Pelodiscus sinensis: one gene and its partner. The protein of the gene in region 2 purifies or fractionates together with the protein of the main gene of each other region. This does not show direct contact. Links are inferred from orthologs where the notes say so. Each region holds a gene or a part of one and is shown on either strand. Other genes may lie near its edges.

The links.
Region 1: the proteins of PPP2R1A (region 2) and PRR14L purify together in Homo sapiens (affinity purification with mass spectrometry; 5 studies listed by BioGRID and IntAct, with this or other methods). This does not show direct contact. The link is inferred for Pelodiscus sinensis from reciprocal best matches to the Homo sapiens genes PPP2R1A and PRR14L.

The regions. Positions count from the first base shown.
Region 1 is NC_134725.1:8,074,900-8,078,644, reverse strand, and holds the start of PRR14L (protein PRR14L), read right to left. Parts: upstream 2,324-3,745; 5' UTR 2,240-2,323; intron 884-2,239; exon of another isoform or gene 738-883; intron 733-737; exon of another isoform or gene 613-732; intron 1-612. Other genes in the region: GATOR1 complex protein DEPDC5, read left to right, coding at 3,473-3,530.
Region 2 is NC_134734.1:2,926,575-2,930,319, forward strand, and holds the start of PPP2R1A (serine/threonine-protein phosphatase 2A 65 kDa regulatory subunit A alpha isoform), read right to left. Parts: upstream 2,255-3,745; 5' UTR 2,248-2,254; coding exon 2,095-2,247; intron 1-2,094. UniProt on the Homo sapiens protein: The PR65 subunit of protein phosphatase 2A serves as a scaffolding molecule to coordinate the assembly of the catalytic subunit and a variable regulatory B subunit.

The DNA.
Region 1 (3,745 bases), on a different chromosome or scaffold from region 2:
GCCCTGTACCATTGCAATATATTTGTTTAAACAACGTAATGGTAGCTGGGCGGGCGATGACATTTTTGGGTGTAAAAAGTACAAAAATAATAAAGTGCTGTAAAACTTAAAACAAAAATTCAGTTTTCTCCAAATTTCAGATGTGTGGACGTGCCCCCCAGACTTCTCCCGAGTACCCTTCATAGTCTTTACCGCAGGCATCTCAAGGGAAGTAATAGGCCATCAAGCTGGTGCTGCTCTCATCACCCCGGGAAGGGTGCAGAGGGCCCTGTGCCCATTGACACACTCACTAGTGGCAGCCCCACAGGCCCCCCAGAGGGAAGAACCGCCCCCCTGCCACAAGGGGCCCCGCCCCAGGCAGCCGAGCTCAGCGCCCCCCCCCCCCCGGGGCTGCCACGTCTCCACATCCCCCCCAGAAAGGGCCCCCTTGGTGCTAGGTCCCGCCCCCCCCCCACGGGCAGCCCCCCTTTCTGGGGGTGCCAGGTCCCTCCCTATCGGGAGCGGCCAGCTCAGCAGTGGGGGGGGGGGACAGGCCCAAGCCAAGGCCCCCCCCGGCCTAGAGTGCGACAGAAGCGCGACGGGGTGGGGGAGGGGCGCGCGGCGCCCCTTTACCTGAGCGGGCTCAGGCCGCCGCCAGCCTCGCGTCTTCCACCGAGCGCCGCTCTTTCCACTGCCCCCCCCCTCCGCTCTATGGTCACATCACTTCCTCGCCCAGCCATTGGCTGCCGCTCGCTCACCGCGGGCCAACGCCCGGCCTCGCTTGCGCGTCCGTGCGCCTCCCAAGACTCCCGGCGGGCTCTTCCAAGCGCCTCCCTCCGCGCGTCGGCTTCTCCCAGGAACCTTCCTCCCTCATTCCGCCACGGCTCTACCACGCACCTCCCTCCGCACGTCAGCCCGGCGGGCTCTTCTAGGCACCTCCCTCCCTCAGCTGCTGCAATTCTTCCAAGCACCCCCCCCCCGCCCCGTTCCTATCAGGCACTCTTAATATTCCTTCCCACACCCCAGCCCTGCGGGACTAGTGTGCCTCTCCCGCTGTCCCCTCACACCAGTGACATGCAGAAAACCAGCAGCACCATCCCATGTAGACGCCTTGTCGCCTACCACCAAGCAGATGGGCAGAAACACTAACATCATGCTATTTAGAGGCATGATATAGTGGAATACCTGCCAGCTTATGCACTAAAACGACATGTGTCCTATTATATGCAGCATGTGTGGATGAAGAGACATCAGAAAACTTAAAAATCCATCCAAAGTCTGACTCTCTTTCAGAAATGAAGAAAGGCATGAAAAAATTTATTTTGCTGGTTTTGCTAGCATTCCTCAAAGAAGACATATCACGTATACCCAGATTTAGGGTTCAAGCCATTTTCCATTGAAAGCATTGGCATAATTCCTACTGAGACAAGCAGGAGCAAATTTGGCCTTTTACCGGACACTTCACAATGATTATTTAGAACATTTAGCTTCTATTCATACCTCTAAAAACCAACCCACCTACAGCCCCCTCACAGCAGGTACTGCATAACTATATGATAAATTACAGCTCTGGTCTCAAAGAGCTTACATACTAAAAGTGAAACTCTGGCATTTCTCCTCATTCCTTTTTCTGATCCCTAAGATCATCAGGGCTCTTGTTGGTCCCACAATAGTATCAGTCCCATTATTTCTTGAAGTTACTTTCTTTTACTCATTCCTGGGAATCTATCCATGTGGGGACACCATTACGCCCTAATGAAGACAATTAATTTCTATACAAGAGTAGGGTCCACCATGATCAGTTGGCAGGATTTGGTCTCTGCTAGTAAACAGCCTAATCTGGTTGCAGGGGAAAAGGATCTGGAGGGAGCCAGGGGGAGGGAAAGAACTGAGAGAAAGCAAAGAGGAACTATGAAGAAATGATGGATGGGAAACAACTCATTTTTTAGTCCTGACAGCGGTCTGGCAACCTCTTGTTTATGTTTTTTTCACATTTCAAAACTGAATATGTAAGTTCACCCTAACAGCAACCAGATCTGCCAGAATACCCTGGTGTAATAGACTCACTGGGGTCCCCAGGGTCTGAGCGTACTCAGCCTGCTCTGGGGCTACAGGACTGTCTACACTGTAAAGGCGGCCTCGCTACCCCGCTAGAGCCGTGCCCCAGGACAACCCGCCTTCCCCAAGGCCCGGGGGCTGGAGGAACGGGCCCCCACGCTGCCCAGGGGCGGTGTAACGACGAAAACCGTCCCGCTCTCACCTGGTCAGGCGCGTCAGAGACAGTCCCCCGCGGGCTGCATTTCCCAGGCGCGGCCTCGGCTCACGGGGGGGGGGGGGGGGGGGGGGGGGGGGGGGAATTGGCCCCACCCGGAGGGGCTGCTCCTGCTGGGCGGCGTTCCCGTCCCTGAGACCCGCGGTGAAGCGGCCCTGTCAGTAGAAGCCGCTTGTTCCCCTCCGGTCTCTTATCCGCCGCCGCACCGGGCGGTGGTCACGTGACACGCGCTGTCCGCCACAAGTCCCGGATGAGGAAGTGAGGCAGCTGCGCGGGAGTCACCCCTCCCCCCCCGCCCGGGCCAGTGAGACTGGGCAAGTGGGGGTGGCTTTTCCCCTCCCCCACCCCTTCGCATTTGGCCGGGGGGGGGGGGTAGTATGTGCTTGTGGCTCCCCTCCTTCTCCACTGGGAGGAGGGGGATTTGCCTCCCTTCGGGGGTGGGGAGACCATGCTCAGGCAATTGCACCAGCTTCCCTCCAGCGTCCCTGGTGGGTGGGGGCGGGTCTGCTCCCAAAGGGGGCTCATCCCCCTGGCTAAGGTGGAGCCTTCGACCAAAGGAGACTGGACCCCCCGGCTTGGGGGTTTTCATGATTCCTGCAGCGCTGGCTGGGAAGGGGAGGGTGGCCTTTGCTGACCAGGGAGTTGTCATTCTGCAAGGGATTAAGTCCCGGGGATGAGATATTATTGACCCTAGGTATAGTCATTGGTGTGGGGCGTCAATCTGGGCGGGGGGGGGGGGGTTAGGGTGAGTTTGCAGCTCAGAAAAGCTGCAGCATTTTTATTCAAGCTTTAGACTTGAATGTTACTCTCTGCAGAGAATGTGTGGGTGAGTGCTCCTGAATCAGGCTGCATTTTCAACCGCTCATAGAAATTCTTCTCTAATTCAAGGTGTGGTTATTTTTTTTACGTGAAAGACCAAAATTCTATCATAATAATAAGTTATAACAACCCTGATGTGACCAGAGTTAAGCATATTGGCAAGTAGGAGATCTTAGGTAGCTATGGAACTGATGCAGGTGCATTTTCTGTGGAGTTGTGGAGTGTTCCTGGTGTTTCTCTGTGAGACTGGAACCTATAGGGCTAATTCTTGAAATATAGTGCTGTCAAGAGCTTTATAATAAGAAAAGGAGTAAGTTTCTTTGTGTTGTTTTTACTTACCAAGGAGACAGGATGTCATCTGTCTGCTTTGCTTGGAGTAGCTGAGAAGAACCAGGATTCAAAATGAGAACCAACAAGGTCTACAAACTCGTCATACACAAGAAGGGCTTTGGTGGCAGTGGTCAGTATCCATTGGTTCATAAGTGTTTTGGGGGCTGCTCATTTCATGATCAGTGATATAACTGGCAGTTTTCTATAATATTTTAATGAACTGTAAGGAAGCTGGCTTCCATTTTTGTTAAGCTTTTTCAAACAAAATTTTAAGGGAGGAACTTTTGAGTAATCTACTGTGTCACTGGTCAGAAGGTGGAAATATCATTGATAGTAGAATACGAA
Region 2 (3,745 bases):
TGGTTTTTAACCCGAGCACCTGGAGTCAGAGCAACGACAAGTCAAGAATTTCTTCGCTTCACATCCTTTCGCTCCTCGATTTTGTTCTCAGCATCTCAAGTCTGGGCTCAGTGCCTGTATCTTCCCTCTTTCTATCCGCCCCTTTCCTTGTTAATTTAACGCCCTCCTGCCTACTCCAGAGAAGGTTGGGCTCTCTTCCAAGCTATGCAGCCAACAAGCCCATAGACAGTGGACAAATGTTTGCATTCAGAAGGGAAAAGAACTGGAGTCCTCTGCTCTAATGCCCAACACCCTACCCCCCTCCCAAAGCTGTAGCTAGAACCCAGGAGTCCCAGCTCCCAGTTCGTCCTAATCTACCATCTAGACCCACACAACCAATGATCCCTTAGAGGGAAAAAAATGGTGCACATGACAAAATGTATTCTGCACAAGGCATGTGCAGATATGCACCACCAGTAGAAACACACGCTGCCGGCTGTGGGCGCTCTGCTACTCAGCTGCATGGCATCTGAATCTGTTCTTGAGCTTACAGGGAATACTGCTCACAACCTTTCCCAGCATTGGGAAGGGAACCCAGGAATCCTGCACTTTGGGTCTCCTTCTTCTCTAACCAATAAATCACACTCCCCATCCCAATCCTACATGCAGCCCAGAGGCCTTCCCCTTTGCAGGGTGTACTCCCACTCCCTTTCACTATGTCACCACCGGGGCATCCTGTCTGGCCAGTTCTGATCTTCCTGACACACCCACCCTGGGAGCGACTCCCTGGAGATAGCCAGGGAGAGAAGGGATTGGGAGAAGACAGACACCCCACCCCTAGGTATGTGCTTAGACCCCCAATGAGGTTCTAAAAAGTCATATGTGGATCTAACACCCTCCCCCTTTAGCTCCACTCACCCAACAGGCAACCCCCTTCCCTACTGGGAAACTTCTGCTCTGCTCCCATGTCCTCCATCTCCCACCACCCTCAGCCTCAGCTCACAAACTACCTGATCCCACAGGCACCCCCTGCAACAAGCCCCCTCTCCCCCAAACAGGAAGTCTGGAACCCAAGCCCCCTCTCCCCCAAACAGGAAGTGACCAGAGGCCTGTGCCCTCTCCATATGTACCATGGTTATAAAGCAGAAACTTTTCCAATCAGGCAGCTACTTACGGGCTAGTCCCAGGACTGGTTCCCCCGGGGGAAGTGCCCTCATCACACCAAAGCCTTCCCCAGCCAATTGACCGCAGCAGCTCACCGGTGGCGGGAAGGGAGGGGGGGGCCACGGGGCACAGGTTTTTGCAAGCTTGGGACACAAGTCATGGTGGCACGTAGTAAGGTGCTGATGGGGAGGACGCCCCTGCGATTGGCTATAGGGAGCCAACCTGTCCTGGGGTGCGCCACCACCAGCCACATTCAGCATCTCCTTGAGGAGACCCAGGATTGGCTCCCACAGGGACAGGCGCCTCGTGACAGACACTTCCCCCAGCCAATCACAGAGTGTGCAAGGATGAGTGCCCCCCCCCCCACTAGACCACAGGGAGCCCCCCAGGGAGAACCCCATTTGTCAGGGTACACCCTGCAGCGGTCTCTGTGATTGGCCAGACTTGGGGCGGGGCATGGTATATTGTGGGGTCAGGGAGCCAATTATCAACCTCCTGCCACCCACCCAACCCTGGAGGGGAGGAGTCAGAGCTTGTGATTGGCTAGGTTGGGAGAATATACCCGGGAAGGGGCCAATCAGACACCCCCTCGCGCCACACCCTAGGTCACGTGAACCAAGGACCAGGAGTGATTCCACCCCCACCCCCACCCCCGACACCGCACGGCCAATCAGGGCTCAGCGATCCAGGGTAAATGAAAAGAGCCTGGAATGAAAGGAGCAGCTCAGCCAATCAGGGGGCTTCTCTCATCTGACCCTTAGAGCTGGGGGGGATCAGACGCCCCCCTCATTCGCCCCCCTCCCCATGCAGCGCGATGCGACGCTCCCACCCAATCAGGCGCCGCCTCTCAAGGCGCAGAGCGGGGCATGGGAGGCGGACAGTGATTGGGCGCCGGCCGCGCGCTCCGCTCGCCCCGCGGCTGCCCGCCGCCTCCCCCGCCTCGGCTGGCACCTGCACGTCCTCGTTGCGCAGCTCGTCGATCAGCACCGCGATGGGGTAGAGTGAGTCGTCTCCGTCGGCGGCCGCCATCTTAGCTCCCGGCTCTAGCACTAAGAACGGCGCGGGGTGGCCTCGGCCGCTTTGCAGGGGCGGCTGCGCACTCATTGGCTGACGGCGACTGTAGTCCCGCCTGCCTTTCAGCTCATTGGCTATTCCGGCACCAGCCTCGCCTGTCGTATCATGCCATTGGTTGGTACCTGTATTGGAGCTGGAATCCCATTGGTAGAGAGAGCTGAACCATCTGAATTATTATTGGCTATTGCTGTGTCTTTCTCCCGCCCACTTTCCGTACTCATTGACTCTAGATGCGCTAACCCCGCGCCTCCCGTAACCCCATTGGCTAAAACCCCAACATAATCCCACCCTAGCTAATACCCAATCAGCGGAGTAGAAACCAGCGCCGCCTTCACTACACTTCAATTGGGTAACGTGCCCGTCAATCATACCGTCTTCTAAGCTATTATTCATTAACAGTTCCTTAAACCCGCCTCCTCCCTTAAACTATTGGCTGCGGCCTCCAGTCGTCCCGCGACTTCTCGCAGTTTATTGGCTGCTTTTCCTGAGTGACAAGGAGCAAGAACCTTCGCGATGAATGGGCAGGAGGGCAACTAAACTAAACTTGATGTTGAGGGCGGGACCCCGAAGGGCTTGCAGATATGTTGCCCGGAGCAACAGTGGCGTCGGCCATCTTGGATTCGTCCCCATGGCAACAGCACTCACAGTACAAACACAACAATGAGGTCGGCCAATTGGAGTGTACTAAGGCCCCCCACAGTGATGTCACAGAGCTGCTGAGATGTCACAACACCCATTGTGATGTCACAACACAATAATACCACAGCTTGCACCATAACATCATGCCTCACCTATGAAGTCATGGAAATGTAGCCGTGTTAGTCTGGTGTAGCTGAAACAAAATACAGGACAATGTAGCACTTTAAAGACTAACAAGATGGTTTATTAGATGAGGAGCTTTCGTGGGCCAGACCCACTTCCTCAGATCAAATAGTGGAAGAAAATTGTCACAACCATATATACCAAAGGATACAGTTAAAAAAATGAACACATATGAAAAGGACAAATCATATTTCAGAACAGAAGGGGGATGTGGGGGGGGGGGGGAAGGAGGTGAATGCCAGTGAGTTAATGATATTAGAGGTGGGGAAGGGTAGATGTCTGTGAGTTAATAGTATTAGAGATGATAATTGGGGAAGCTATCTTTGTAATGGGTAAGATAGCTGGAGTCTTTGTTAAGTCCCCTGCGGAGAGTGTCGAATTTTAGCATGAATGCCAGTTCAGAGGATTCCCTTTCAAGTGCAGATTTGAATGTCTTCTGAAGTAGGAAGCAGGTTAGCTTCCCCAAACCTCCTCTGCACCCCAATCTCCTGCCCCAGCCCAGAAATGTTTGGGTCACAATGAGGTGTGGGGTAAATCAACTTGTGTTAAACCGAAAACAAAACAATGTCAACATTTTCAAAGATCCAAAAACTTGGGGGAAAATTGTTTTGGCTCAAAGTAAATGTTTCATTTAATTGTTAAGCACTTTTAAAAACATTTTGCCAGGCCTTAAAAATAAATTACATTTCCGAGCAAAAAGCAGCTT